Linked DNA regions of Diceros bicornis minor. The protein of the gene in region 1 purifies or fractionates together with the protein of each later gene. This does not show direct contact. Links are inferred from orthologs where the notes say so. Each region holds a gene or a part of one and is shown in the gene's direction. Other genes may lie near its edges.

Evidence for each region.
Region 2: the proteins of CDC27 (region 1) and UBE2S purify together in Homo sapiens (affinity purification with western blotting; 4 studies listed by BioGRID, with this or other methods). This does not show direct contact. The link is inferred for Diceros bicornis minor from reciprocal best matches to the Homo sapiens genes CDC27 and UBE2S.

The regions. Positions count from the first base shown.
Region 1 is NC_080757.1:44,865,217-44,872,799, reverse strand, and holds the start of CDC27 (cell division cycle protein 27 homolog), read left to right. Parts: upstream 1-4,571; 5' UTR 4,572-4,681; coding exon 4,682-4,708; exon of another isoform or gene 4,709-5,020; intron 5,021-7,583. UniProt on the Homo sapiens protein: Component of the anaphase promoting complex/cyclosome (APC/C), a cell cycle-regulated E3 ubiquitin ligase that controls progression through mitosis and the G1 phase of the cell cycle.
Region 2 is NC_080773.1:33,396,835-33,404,734, reverse strand, and holds the start of UBE2S (ubiquitin-conjugating enzyme E2 S), read left to right. Parts: upstream 1-4,887; 5' UTR 4,888-5,076; coding exon 5,077-5,079; intron 5,080-5,685; coding exon 5,686-5,833; intron 5,834-7,498; coding exon 7,499-7,689; intron 7,690-7,900. UniProt on the Homo sapiens protein: Accepts ubiquitin from the E1 complex and catalyzes its covalent attachment to other proteins. Catalyzes 'Lys-11'-linked polyubiquitination.

The DNA.
Region 1 (7,583 bases):
TGGACAGAGAGACCAGTACCTGTGAAGCCTCTGAGTCAAGAAAGTGGGTCAAGAAGTTCCATGGAGCTGGTGTAGGGGATGGAAAAGAACTTTTCCCACTACCCTCTTAGGTTCAGTATCCGGGGCCTTGCAAATGAAACTGATCAAAGACAGATTAACAGAATTTAAAAAACAAGAGTTTATTTACACCTGCAACACATACACATAGGAGAATTCAACGATAAGTAACTAAAGAGGTGGTTAGATTTGGGGGTTACATACTATCTTAGCAAATGGCAATAAATTTGTGGAGAAGTGACAGGACAAAGGAAAAAGGGTTTGGACTTCTAGGGGTGGTAAATTGTGGAAAGGTAAACATATGGGGAAACTAATGGGAGATAAGGGTTATTTTAGTACAGTTTGTTTGTGCAGACCCAACTCAGTGCCAACTCTCTGTCTCGTGATAATGTTTGTTTTCCTCCTCCTGGTACAGGAGAGGGGAGAGGAAACACCTTCACAAAGGGAAATTCATGTACTGCTTTTAGGCAGATAGGGGGAGGGCAAAGAGCTCTTTCTATGTTTGCTGCTTCTTAATTGCTTTCAGCTCAAAATAATCCTTATGCCAAAGTGACATATTCTGATCCCTTTTGCTGGAATGTAGAGTATAAGAGGGAGATAGATGACAGAAGGCTAAACAAGGAGGCAGGGACTAGACCTTAGAGGGTCTTGTAAGGCAAGTTAAAGGGTTTGGACTATATCCTAAGAACGGTGGGAAATCCTGAGTTGAGGGGGCATATTTAGGCAGAGGAGTCCTCACATGATCGGACTTGCTTTTGGAGGTAGGTAAGACTAGAGGCAAGAAGAGACATGAAGGTATATTTAGGAGGTAAACTTAGTAGGGCTTTGTGACTAGATGTTAAAGAAAGAGAGTGGTTTCTGGTTGGGCAATGGAGAAGATGACAATGCCTTAAACTTGGACAGGAAATATTTCAAGTATGAGGAATGAGGAGCTCCATTCTGAACAAAGCACCTGTGAGACACGCAGATAGAGACATCCAGTTCACAGCTAGGCACTTGGGTCTGGAGTTCTAAGAAGCAGTCTGGCTGCAGAAACAGATTTTGGAACAATTTGTGGATGAAAAACTGAGGCCACAAGAATGGAAGGGTGTTCCTGGGAAGAATGTGTAGGATCAGAAGAAGACCTACAACAGATCCCTGAAGCGTTCTAACATTAGAGGGGCTGCAAAGGAAACTGATAAAGAACAGAGCAGTAGGAGGAAAACCAGGAGACCGTGTGATCAGAGAAGCCAAAGGAAGGGGATGATTTGACCAAGACGGAGAACCAAAAAAAAAAAAGAGGAGAAAAAAAGTCTCAAGGTCAAGTAACAAAAGAAGAATAAAAGGCAGCATGCAACAGGGACAAAAGAAGGATACAGACAAGGAGGACTGAAGGAATTCAGAAGAGTAAGCTTCTCCTGGGCTATGTTTCAGTGGGACCTGCATCTGGGCACTGATACCATGTCTAGCTTCTTGAGTAGTTCCCTAATGCTGGCCTCCAAATCTGACTGAACATGAAACAGAACAAGAGGCAGGCTAAGGAGAAGAGATAATTTACCATGTTTGGAATAATGCTTACTCTAACCTAACTCCACTCGCCAGCTAAACATATGTGGATAATGAATGACAGCAGGGTACCCAAGTGGTTGTTGGATGGTGAGTTGAGCTTAAGTATGTCAATCAGGAACAGAGAAGGAAGTAAAAATGCTCTAAAAGATCCCATTAAAGCACAACTTCAAACAATGTGGCCTTGCTGCGGAGGAGCAGAAAATCACAACAGATGTATCAGCCCAGCGAACAACAGTCAGAAAAGAGATGCCTTTTTTCAGCAGGTAAAAAAAAAAGGCTTTAGGCAAATTCCAAGCTTACAAGTCAGATGTCAAGCACCACAGACTCTTTAAATGCTGACTCCAGATACACATTTCCATACAAAAAATATCATCTCTGTGTATCCCGTGTTGTAAATTCCTACATTTAAGTTTACAAGAATCCATTGTGCAAATATAAGACTTGGGTCGGCAGACCACAAGCTTAGCATGAGCAAACAGTGTCATGTGACTGCTAAAAAATGCAAGTAAAACTTTAGTGTACTTAATAGAAGTGCTCAGATAATAAAAGCAGTAGTCCTACTGCATTCTGAATTAATTAGAATAAATCTGGAGTGTTGTGTTCAATTAAAAGCATCAAATTTTAAGAGTAATATCTCTTACCCATCGCTTTCTTCCCATTCCCACTACCAAATTCTCTCATCTCATACCCGGTAGTTTCCCAGCAGTCACTCCTTCCCATCAGCACATGCCTTGTGCAGCATCACTTTGCTAGCCTCCCATCTAGAGGTGGAGTCTATTTCTCCTCCCACTGAATCCAAGCTGGCATTGTATCTGACTTGAACCAACAAGAAGTGATGGAGTTTGACTTATAGGCCTAGGCCTTAAGGGACCTCACAGCTTTTGTGTTGGCCTGCTTGGTTGCCAGCCACCAAGTCAAGAAGCTGGGGCTAGACTACCGATTGATGAGAGGCCAAGGCTGAGAGAGAGGTCACGTGGAGGAGAACCGAGGGGCTCAGCCAATAGGTAGCACCAAGGCCCAAAACATCTGAGTGAAGCCGTCTTGGATCTTCCATCCCCAGTAAAGCCAATGATGGTAATATTCTGTATCTGTGCTATCCATTATGGAAGTCATTAGCTACATATGTCTACTGAGTCTTTGGAATGGACAGGGCTCCTGAAGAACTTCACTTTTTTTTTTTTTTGGTGAGGAAGATTGGCCCTGAGCTAACATCTGTTGCCAATCTTCCTCTTTTTGCTTGAGGAAGATTGTCCCTGAGCTAACATCTGTGCCCATCTTCCTCTATTTTGTATGTGGGACACTGCCACAGTGTGGCTTGATGAGCAGTGTGTAGGTCCATGCCAGGGATCCAAACCCATGAACCCCAGGCCGCCAAAGCAGAGTGCGCAAACTTAACCACTACACCACCAGGCCGACCCCCAGAACTTCATTTTTAATTTCACTTGATTTTAACTAAACTTTAAACAGTCAGTGGCTACCATATCAGTCATTGTAGAAGACTATTCCCACTCCAATTCATCCAGCATAATTCTGCTAAAAGAACAGGGCAGCAGAGAATCACCTTAGCACCTACGCTTTATGGGGCTACAAGTGCATAAGCAGTAACTAGAGATGACTGGTGGTGAAGAATATAGTAGCTCTGTCAACTAGCATTAAAAAAAAAAAAAAAAAAAAGACCTCCCTCCACATCATCCAAAGGAAGGGAGTGACCCATTCCAAACTGATTTTATCTGCATAAAATGTGAGAATGAGAAAGGGAAATTGCCACACAATGGAATATACACCCAACGTCTAGCCTAGAGATGTCCTGATCAGAAAATTAACCTTCAAAACTGTTTTCCCCATCTACAGAAAAACAAAATTTTAATAGCTCCCTGGTTCACATATTTTTGGGGGAGAGGGAGCAGGAAAGAAATTTGAAAGAGCCTACTATGTGTGTTAGACACAACCACAAGGGTTAATGCATTTAATTCTCTTCATCACTTTTTTCATACTAGGGAAATAGAAGTTCAGAGAGGTTGTGACTTGCCTAAGGATCTAAAACTAGTTAGTGCAAGAGAGAAAATTCAAAATCAAGCCTCTGAATTTCTCAATACACCACAAAGCCTCTCCTATAAAAATTTCTGCCTGCCTTCCGAGATTTTCCATGATCTGGTCATCTAACTAATTATTTCCAGTTAACACCTTAACTCTTATCAGACTGATCTCATTTCTGCTTTCCTTCACTTACCCTCTCCTTTCTTTTCTAATTCTACCCATCCTTCAAAGCCCAGTTTGTGTCCCTTTTTCTTTCCTCATCTTAATCCCAACTAATTTTCTTCCCCTCTGAATTTTTACATCACTTATAGTGGGCACCACATAATATAGCACTCTTAGTTACATTGCTTTTCCCTTAAATCGACCGTAATCTCTTTAAGGACAAATACCAAATAAATTTTTGGAGGGTGGCAATCCTTCCAAATTTCCTATATCCCTTTGAGGCATGAATAGGTACTTCTGGAATGGATGAATGACCTAAGCTCAACAGACAAATACTTCTTGATTAATTAAAGTCAGCCCCAAACTCTCATGTTTTACCCTTTGCTTAATCTACCGCGCACCAATTAATCAAGAAAAGCTGAGCAGAAATCAAGACGGCAGCACAGCCACGTAACGCTCCCCACCCGCTCCGGCACGCCACGCCCAGCCTGCTGGTAGCCGATTGGGCGTGGCCCAGCCTAGGGTGGCCTATTGGGCGTGGCGTGCGTGAGTGAAGGCGGGCCGAGAAAAGAAACCTACGCTCTGGACAGGACTCGGTAGTCTCCGGTAATCCTCGACAATTTCCGGCAACGGTCTCCTCCTCCGTCGACCCACCTCGGGTGTTTCCGGCCTCCTTCGGGCTTTTCCGTCTGGCGCCCGCGCGGATCTCTCCCCTTCGGGTATTTCCGTGTCCCGCTCGGAGGTACTCGGCAGTCTCTCGGCCTCCCCCATTCCCCGGTAACGGTCGCTGGTGAGTTTAAATGAGCCGGGGCTGGCCGGGCCGAGCCGCTACGGGGGGGGCCTGAGGCACTGCAGAAAGTGGGCCTGAGCCTCAAGGATGACGGTGCTGCAGGAACCCGTCCAGGTAATGAGAACCCCGTTCTCTGAGGCTTGGCTCGCAGCCTCGGTCGGGAAGCAGCGTATGGCCACTCCGCGGCCTGGTGCGGCCTAGGCCCGGCTGCCTCTCCCGCCTCCCCCCATGCCGGGTCCTGCCTATCCTCTCGTCAGTCCGGAGGCCTTGCCCGTAGCCTACGCCGTGTTACCTCTGGTCCTACGTCCCTTCTACCCCTCGTGTGAGCGGGGTTCGGCGATAATAGCTTCTTTCCCCTCCGAGCCAACGTCCACCTGGGCCCTCCTGTCAGTCTAGGGGCCCGGCCCCGGCCGGGGTGAGGGATGAGGGGCCGAAAACTCGCCCCAGGTGCTCTCGTGCCTAAAGGATGGTGGGGAAGCACATTTGATCAGAGCTTGTACGGGCTTCATAACGGTGGGGCAAGTTGGCGGGGTGGAGGGGGTTGGTTTTGTTTTTGTTTTATGTGAGAGGGCGGAGGGAGGGTAGATCGGTATTTTTAATACTAATTTCTATTTTGGTAACAGACTTGCAAGCCCACGTTGCTTTTCTCGCTCAGTGAATTTCCCACTGGACAATGATCTGAGAAGAGAACTCCAAGGCCCAGTGCTGAGGTGCAAGCACCTATCCAAGGGGAGGGGGTGGAAACGGCAAATCTGGGTTTTTCCATGACCTGTGGTGGGGATCAGGAGTGTTTTATTGTGCATGTTTGTAAGGCGTTCAGGAAATGAAAGACAAATAGTGGTTTTACCATCCACTTCACTGTCCTCACCACACCAGGAAGTGTGTGAGGCAGTGCCAAGTCATTTTTCCCCTTGTCGTCTGAAGAAACTGAATCTTTTGTCCCTTGGTGATGAACCAAGTCTGGGAGACTGTCAACCCACCCTAGGATCTTGAACTTGATTAGAAGAGTTGAGCTCTGTCAACTGCTGTCATTGACTCATGGATTTTCTCTATTTTGAAGTTATAAAGCAAACTGATTTTAGAAATTATTTCATATACCCTTAATAGGCCTGTGATATCAAATAGTAAATATTTTAGTACATCACTTCTTCCATATTTCCTTAATTTTTCTTCACAGGATGAAATACCAGTTTCTGCTAGTTGGCTGCTTCCCCGGCTTTTTACATGTAGCAGCTATTAGTGTTTGATTTAATGTAATGTGGGATTCTATTTTAGGAAATTTACCTGTTTGTAAGTTGTACCAGTGCTTCCAAAGCTATTTCTTTCCATCCAAATTCCTCTTACTAGTAAAGAGTCTCTGAAGATTTTTTTTTTTTGAGGCTTAACATGAAATTAGAAGTTGCTGTCTGTACCTTCTTACATAGATAAGCAGATCACTCAAGTTGTTTAATTTCTGTTTCATATTCTTGTAATTCTGTCTTAATAATTAATGATACGTTTGCCTTCTTTGGCCCCAAAAGACTTCTAAAATGATAAACTAGTTTCATTGCTAGCTTATAACCACTATTTAATAATAATTTCAACTTGTATAGGAGCTTGGAGAAGAAAAGAAATACATAGCCTATTCCTAGATAGTGCCTGCCAGGTTTCCTCTTTTCCTTAAAGTACTCTTAGCAGTAATGCACTTAGGCATTTTTAAGGCTCAAATGTCAAATTTATCTTTTTTTTTCACACTACCTTTATCCATTAGATTTGGGAACAGTGGTAAGAAGTTTTAAGATACGAGGTAGTATAAGAAGAAATAAGAGATCTGGAGCAGAGGGAAGAACAAGCAATTTTGGCTAGGATGATAAAGATCAACTGACCAGAGATAGTGCTGAAAATGGGAAAGAATTAGTGAGGAAGAAAATAAAAATAGGGGACTAGCCCTGTGGCGTAGTGGTTATGTTCAGGCGCTCTGCTTTGGTGGCCTGAGGTTCGCAGGTTCGGATCCCTGCTGCAGACCTATGCACCGCTCATCAAGCCATACTGTGGCGGCGTCGCATATATGAAATAGAGGAAGATGGGCACAGATGTTAGCTGATGGCCAATTTCCCTGACCAAACAAAAAGAAAAGAAAACTAGGACAGATAAAGATACTGTATATGTTTTTCTTTTTAACTATAATAAGTGATTGCATGTATTTGTAAAGGGATGAGAGTAAGTTGGAAAGTTGTTTTCTTTCTTGGGATGCCTCATGGTTCATGGTATTACTAGGCATAGGAAAAAGTTGAGAGAAAAAATGAGCAACTGATCTCTGCCTTTTTATTTTCTTTAACGTTTTAGTGTGGAATAGCCAGTCTGAGATAAGGTAAGAATAAGCTCCTCCTCCAAATTATCTCTCATAGAAAAGTGTTAGTTAATATTTGAGTCATTTCAAAAATCTCTCCTATTATGAGGCAGAAATTCTGTCGATTATTTTATTTTTAATATAACTGTTTGGAGAGGACACACTACCCTAAATGACTTCAATCAGTGCTAATTTGGAGGTTTATAAAATTCACCTGATGAAACTGATTAAAAAACCAGTGATATTTTGATAGATTTATCAATTATTCCTGGGGTAGGACTTCACAGTTAGAAGTGTTGGATGAAGTTGTAAACAAGCCTTATAAAAATCACCATAATGAGCAGTGTGGTAAGTGGTTACTATTCACATAATATCATTTTATTTATTTATTTATTTATTTATTTATTTATTTATTTATTAATAATCATATATTTTTTTAAAGATTTATTTATTTATTTTTTTCCCCCCAAAGCCCCAGTAGATAGTTCTATGTCACAGCTGCACATCCTTCTAGTTGCTGCATGTGGGACGCGGCCTCAGCATGGCCGGAGAAGCAGTGCGTCGGTGTGTGCCCGGGATCCGAACCCCGGGCCACCAGTAGCGGAGCGCGCACACTTAACTGCTAAGCCACGGAGCCGGCCCATAATATCATTTTAGAGG
Region 2 (7,900 bases), on another chromosome or scaffold:
CCGCAACCACATGAATTTCCCTCCAAGCACATGTTTCTTTCATAATTTAATACAAATGAACAGGAGAAATGAAGATTAATTTCTGATGCTAGAATTCAAGCTGAAAGGACAATTTGGGTTCATCGTACCAAAAGAAGTTCCTAGATCATCAGTATTTAGCAAAGGAAGCCCCCCACTCCGTCCCCACTCCTCCCCACTGCCCGTGCCCCGCCAATTCCACTCTCCTAAACTGACTCAGAAGGCCCATTGCTAGGCCACCTCCTGATGAGTTCTCAGATCCGTCCCCTTCTCTCCAACAGCCATGGCCACCACCCTCGCCCAAGCCACACCAACTGGGTGCTGGATTTGCTGCTCAGGGCCTCCAGGCCAGTCTCTACCCAGCAGCCCCGAGCTAGAGTCTCAATGTGAGTACCAAATCCACTCACACCTCCTGACCAATGTCCTCACTGGCTCCCTAGGGCTCTGCCCACCGCTCCAGCTCAGCTCGGAACATTCTTCTCTCTCTCCCCCGTCCCCCCATCTCTGGCCTTCATTCAGTTCCTCCCATAACGGCTTTATTGAGATGTAACTCACATACCGTACATACAACTCACCAATGTAAAGTGTACGATTCAATGGTTTTTAGTATATTCAGAGAGTTGTGCACCATCATCACAATTTTAGAGTATTTTCATCACCCCCAAAAGAAAATCCGTACTCATTAGCAATCACCTCGCTATCCCCCACTCCACCCCCCAGCCCTAGGCAATTACTAATCTACTTTCTATCCACATGGATACGCCTCTTCTGGACATTTCATATAAATGGAATCATACAGTATGTGGTCCTTTGTGGCCTCTTTCCCTCAGCATCATGTTTTTGAGGTTCATCCATGTTGTAACATGTAAAAGTACTTCATTCCTTGCTATGGCCATATAATATTCCATGGTTTACCCACTCGTCAGTTGATGAACATTTGGGCTACTGTGAATAACGCTGTTATGAACATTTGTGTATGAGTCTGTGTGTGGACATACATTTTCATTTCTCTGGGGTACATACCTCGGAGTGGGATTGCTGGGTCTTATGGTAACTCTATGTTTAACCATTTGGGGAACTGCCAGACTGGTTTCCAAAGCAGCTGCACCATTTTTCATTCCCATGGGCTTTGTGTGAGGATTCTGACTTCTCCACACCCTCCCCAATGCTTGTTATTATCTTTGATTATAGCCACCCTGGTAGCGTGAAGTGGGATCTCATCGTGGTTTTGATTTGCATTTTCCTGATGGCTAATGATGTTGAGCATCGTATTGATGTTGATCTTGAGCAGCACCTTGAAGGCCCTGCGTGATACCCCCTCCCCAACCCCAGACCACACACACCTCTCTGACCTCACTCCCCCATACCCGCCCCCTCTCTCCTTCTGTTCCAGCCACAGTGGCCTCCCTGCAGTTCCTCGAGTGTGCTAGGCCCTGCTCCAGCTCTTCCCACTGCCAGGAATGCTCTTCCTCTGATAAGCACATAGATCATTTACTCCCTTCCTTCAAACTTGGGTTCAAATGACATCTGCTCGGAGAGGCCTACCCTGGCCACCCGGATTAAAATTCACCATGGCATCAGCACAACCTGGCACCCGAGCCCCTCCCCTGCTCTGCTTTTCTCTTTTCCACAGCACTCGGTCCCTTCTGACATATCATGTATTTTATTTATTTTTTATATTTTGTTTTTATGTCTGCCTTCCCCCACCACAGTAAGCCCCACAAGGGCAAAGACCTCTGTCTGTTCTCTGACGTACCCCAAGCGCCAGAATGGTGCCTAACACATAGTAGGTGGTCAAGAAACACTTACTGAATGAATGAACATCCTCGATCTGTCAGGCACCCTGCTGGGGCCGAGGACAGAGTCCCCGCTCTCCTGGGGCTGATCTAGTCAGGGGAGACAGAGACACGTAAGCAAGCAAGTAATCACAAATTCTGATGGACCAGGAAGATCAAAGATGGTCAAGGGAACAAGCGAGGGAGTGGAGGCAAGGGAGCCGCCCTGAGATGCAACAATTTAAGGTGAGCCCAGCCAGTGAGGAGGACAGAAGAAGGGGTAGGAAGCTCTCCAGGCACAGGGGACTCCCGCTCGCACGTCCTCAGGTGAGACAGAGCTTGGCTTATACGGGACAGATGGAAAGGCCAGGGGGGCTCAAGGAGAGTGTGCTTATGGACCTCATGGGAATGTGGGGTTTACTCAAAATGTAGCGGGGAGGAGGGCTCCTGAAAGGTTTCTAGCAAGAGTGGGGCATGTCAGGATTCCAGGGGTCAGTAAACGGCCTCCCTGAGGGCCATCTCCGGCCACTGCCTGTTTTTGTAGACGAAGTCTGACTGGAACACAGCCACCCCCCTTCCTCGGCAAATATCATGCAGGCTGCCCCTGGGGCAGAGCAGCAGAACTGAGCCGGCTGGGACAGAGACTGGTGGCCCCCAAAGTTGGAAACTTTTACTCAAAAAGTGTGCCAACGCCAATTTTTAGGCGACTGTTCAGTGAGTAGGCGATCCCCTCCCTCTCCCTCACACCAGGTCATGTTGATTTCACCAAACCCCATCACTCTCCCCCCCTCACCGCCACCAACCTGCTCGGAGCCGCCATCATCCCCACCCGGATGGCTGCAGTCACCTCCTCACGGGCCACTCTGTTCCTGCCCTAAGTCAGATGGAGTCACGTCCTGTTCAAAGCCTTCAGCGGCTCCCCCTTGATGGAAGAAAAGAACACACTGCTCATCATGGCCCGGGTGTGTGATATAACCACCGCTCCCCCTTCCCTCTCTGACCTCAGTGCCTTCCACATGCCCGGCTCACTCTGACCTGGCCTTGCTGGCTTCCAGGTGGTGCCTGACACACACCAAGCACCATCCCCTCCCCAGGCCTTTGCACCTGCTGTTCACTTTTCTCAGAATGTTTTTCCCATAGACATGAGCCTTCCCAGAGAGGCCTTCCCTGCCCAGCCAAGGTCCAACAGCAGCCACCACTGCTCCCTTTCTCTCTCTCTGGCCCTAATTTACTGTTCTTCGACGTCTTTATCACTGGCCGACATGACAGTATATACTTACTTCCTGACTGTCTGGCTCCCTCAAAGGATGTAAGCTCCATGAGAGCAGTTTTGTCCCTTTTACTCTTTGCCGTATCCCCACAGCATCCTCCTGCCACATGGTAGGTGCTCAAAACCCAAAAATGTCATTGAATGAACACAGGTGTCCAGAGGGGAATCCTAACAACATCCACCTGACAGGGCTGTTGCAAGGACTAAGCGAGATCAAGCACGCAAAGGAACTAGAACAGTGCCTGGCACACAGCAGGCACCTAATAAATAATAACCATCATTATCATCATCTTTATGTCTGTCGGGTGGGTTTGGAGATAGAGCTTGACTACCACGTCTGCCTTGTCCCGGTGGGGGGACCCTGGGCAAGCCACCAGACCCGCCTCTTCCTTCAGTGTTCTTGTCCCTTAAATGGGCTGGAATCATCTGCCCCCAGCGGGCTAAGGTTCATGATCTGGTGTGAGAGCTGCCCGCACCGCCAATGCTCCACAAACTCTCGTTATTACTAGACTGCAAGGCTGTGGGCACCTTTTACACCTTCCCGCCTCCTGTTCCAGCAGCTGAGGCCCCAGGAGGGGACGCTGGTAGCCACCGGTCTTTTCAGGACACTGTGGCCAAGCTGGACCGGACTTGGCTGAGCTGAGAGGGGCCCAGAGGACCCCATGAGGCCACTTCCGCTTCCGGTCCGCCTCCTCTCTTGGCATCTAGTCAGGGCCGGCCCAGGGAGCTCCGGCTCGTTTAGGGGAAAAGCCGGGCCCAGTTTACTAACTGAAGCCTGAGACCACTGTGTGTCCACTTCCCAGACAGGGAAAGTGAGTGCCAGTGAGGGCCTGGCCAGCCGGAGGCCGCGGGTCAATCACAGGCAGGGCCGTGCCCTGACGAAGGCCTGGGGACTGTTCCTTCTTCCTTCTCGGTCATCACGAGGGATCCCAGCCCCCACTTCCCACAGGAGGAAACTGAGGCCCGGCGTCGTGACTGAGGCCTGGCCGGGGTCAGAGGTCACACATTTGAAGGCCAGGGGTCCACGCCTTCGAGGCCGTGCTGACTGGTCTTTGAACTTCTGCAATCCAGGACGCAGGTCACAGGTCATACCCAGCACAAAATGGCGCCTCGTAGAAAATTTAGATCGATTCTCAGCGCCCACCTCCCCGCCACCGGCTGAGGAGGGGGCGCGGGAGGCAGTGTATACCTTATTTGCATATACAAAAACCAACGAATTTCGTTGGCTGCGATCTGCTTGGCCCGCGCTAAGCAGGGCCCCCATTGGTCGCTCTCCATTGCTCCCGCCCTCTGTCACCCTTCTCTGGCAAGGATTGGCCCGTGCGAGTCTCGTTACGCCATTCCACGATTGCGCATCCCTATTGGCCAGAGTGCCTTCCATCATCCGTTTAAAACCCCCAAGTCCCGCCTCCTCTCGCCCCGCCCAGGCTCCCAGGCCGACCGTTAGTCGCGTGCGCGACTTCCTGAGCATCAGGGCGCGCGCGCGTACCGGGCCGTGGCGGCGTCTCATTCAAACAGCCCAATCAGCGGTCGCGTCACCTCTCCCATCGCTTTCCACTCTACTGCCCCTTCTCAGCCCCTCCATTCTCCGGGGCCCCCTTTCCGACCCCCGCGTGCCCCCATTGGCCGACCCGCCGCGCGCCCCCTCCCCAACTTTTCCCGCTTCTGCCCATAGCTTGCAGAAAGGGAGCGAGCGCGTCGATAGCCCAGGACCTTGCGCGCTGACGTCACGGGTCGAGGCGCGGCGCTCTGGGGCCGCAGCGGGGCGTGGCCTGCGGGTGGCTATAAAGAGGTGTCGGTGGGCGCGCGGCCGGCTCAGTGCGGCCGAGCGCCTGGGGCGGGTAGATTTCTGAGCGCGGTGCCCTGCGGGCGTCGGAGGCAGCGGGGAGCCGAGCAGGGCCGCCGGGGCCTCGCTAGGGCCGCAGCGGCAGTAGTTGGGCCCCCCGCCCCGGCCGGCGGCCCGGAGAGCACAGGAAGGGGGCCGGGGGGACCCGCCCCCGACCGGCCGCAGTCATGGTGAGCGCGGCAGCCAGGCCCGGGAGGGGCCGTCGGGGGCGCTCCTGGAGAAGGAGGCGGGGTCTCAGGAGCCTCGCGCGGGCGGCCTGGGGGTTTGGAGGGCCCGCATGGGGGTCCTGGGCTGGGGATGGACCCAAGGGCCTTCCTGGAGGCGGTGCGGGAGGGGAAGGCCCGGCTGAGCTCCGGGGAGGGCTCCGGGCTTTGTGGCCCGCCTGTGGGTTTTCCGGGAGTAAGGACGCTCCGCCGCCATCTCCAGGCCCCAGCTGGGGTTTCCAGGATTTTTTTGTCAAGGTTAGGTGGGGAAGGGGACCACGCCAGGCGTCTGTATACCCAGAATCATCGGTGGCCCATGCGGTGCTACGAGCGGGCTTTGGGGGCTTCTAGGAAGGTGGAGCTATCTGCAAGCTCCCTCAGATGTGCCCCCATTTCTGGTGGGAGATCAGCCTGGCAGGGCCACCTGAAGCGTCCTGAGTGGGGGGTCTGGGAACACAGGCATGATTGACAGCCTGAGACTGCAGAGTCAAGACTAGGGCGGCCACCGCATCCTGGATCCTGCCAGAGGCCTGGGCTCTGCTAGCCGCTCACTCCCTTCTCTCCTGCGCCCAGAACTCCAACGTGGAGAACCTGCCCCCCCACATCATCCGCTTGGTGTACAAGGAGGTGACGACGCTGACAGCTGACCCGCCTGATGGCATCAAGGTCTTTCCCAACGAGGAGGACCTCACGGACCTGCAGGTCACCATCGAGGGCCCTGGTGAGTGTGGGAACCAAACAGGAAGAGGTGCGCTTCCTAGATTCCGTGTCATCCTTAGAGCAAGAAGAGGAAGCCCCCATTATAAGCCGGACTCTGCCAGGGGCTGGGGACGCAGTGGTGGACAGGACAGCGCACCTCTTACTCCCGTGGTGCTTGAGTCTGCACTGCAGGACACTACAAATGACAAGTAATTGTGTCTACTTTTCCTGTAAATGTGAGAGAATCCTGGTTGCCCAGAAATCATATGAAGGGGGCCTTACCTGGGTTTGGGGGGAGGCTGTCATTTACACGTTCCCTCAGGTAGGAATTAAATGGGAGTGGGAAGAGGGTGCTGGATGGGAACAGTGTCAGCAAAGGCTTGGAGGATGGGCCACACTGTCTCAGACTCCGTCTTGCTGTTGGCGTCGGGGACATAGCAAACAAGCCAGATGCAGCCTGCGGAGAGATGACAATCAAATATTAGACTGGAGAGCATTTAATCATGCAGAGATTTAGTGTGTTGTTCCACATGCACTATGTTTTTGCTATTCATTGAATTTCTACAAAGTAAGCCAAGTTGTAACAAGAAGGGCCTAGTCTGGAGTGGGGTCAGGCACGGGGGTGGGGTGGGTCAGGGAAGGCTTCCTGAGATGGTGACAGTTATGGTGATTTACGCCCTGATGGGGTGGGGCGGTGGGGATCCTGACAGGCCCTTGGCAGGTGCAGTACGAGCAGAAAGATAAAAAGACTGGTGAAGGCTTTAGGAAGCAGGTATTTGTGCGCTTGTAGGTCTCTCTCCAAGGAGTTTGCGAAGGGAGCCGTTGGTAGGTTTACAGCAGGTGTCATAGGTCGCTTTGGAGTTCCTTTAACTTCAGTGGGGTGAAGGGAGGGTGGAAGCTGGAGGCTGGTGTGGAAGCCGTCCACCACTGCTGGCATCTGGTTCGGCTGAACTTGGAGGTGGGCTCAGATTCAGGAGGGGCCGTGGAGGTCGGCTGCCCAGGCTACTGATGGGTTGGATGTGGGGCCTGGGGCATGAGGGACAGCCATGGGTCTGGAACGGCTCCACAGTACCTTGACCTGAGCAAGTGGGTGAATGAGAGCACTGCTTACTGTGGCAGGGAAGACCATGGAGTTGACAGAACTGTCCCCTCATTTGCCCACGAGGCTTCCAGGTAGATGTTTTGCCGGGAAGATAAGTGGGTGCGAGTATCTGTGCCTCTTGGGAAGGGGACGCAACTGGGGCCTTCATGTGGGAGAGAAGAGGCATCCAGGGGTGGAGAACAGGGCTTGGTGGTGACACAAGTCAGGGGGTTAACTCTGTGATGGTGGTGGGGTGTTCCTGCAGTCCCCTGGGAGCCTAGCCCTGTCCTACTCTCAAGAATCCCCCAGGGAGCCATCCCCGTGGCGTAGCGCTCTGCTTCCGTGGCCTGGGGTTTGCAGGTTCAGATCCTGGGCGCGGACCTACGCACTGCTCATCAAACCATGCTGTGGCAGTATCCCACATACAAAATAGAGGAAGATTGGCATAGGGACCGTCTTCCTCACCAAAAAAAAAAAAAAAAAAGAATCCACCAGTCTGATGGAGGAGGCAGCAGGGCACTTGCCTCATAGACCGGGCTTTGGGGTTTTGCAGGATACCTAGGAGTCCTGGACCTCCTGACTCAATCCACCCTCTCTGCTTTCCAGAGGGTACCCCATACGCTGGAGGCCTCTTCCGCATGAAACTCCTGCTGGGGAAGGACTTTCCTGCCTCCCCACCCAAGGGCTACTTCTTGACCAAGATCTTCCACCCCAACGTGGGCGCCAACGGTGAGATCTGCGTCAACGTGCTCAAGAGGGACTGGACAGCTGAGCTGGGCATCCGGCACGTGCTGCTGGTGAGTTCGGGGTGGGCCCGGGCCGCCTCCCCCCGGGCATCCCAGTGATGTCCGAGCCGCAGTGTGTTCTTTCTTTGTTAAAATCAACTCTGAAGTGACTGGGGGCTACCATGTAAAAATCCAGGCTTCCGGCTCTTTTGGAAAATCCTGGAAGGATTGGCTGTGCAGGGCCTGGGCGCCTGGGCACCTGTGCCGTGGAACAGGTGATGGG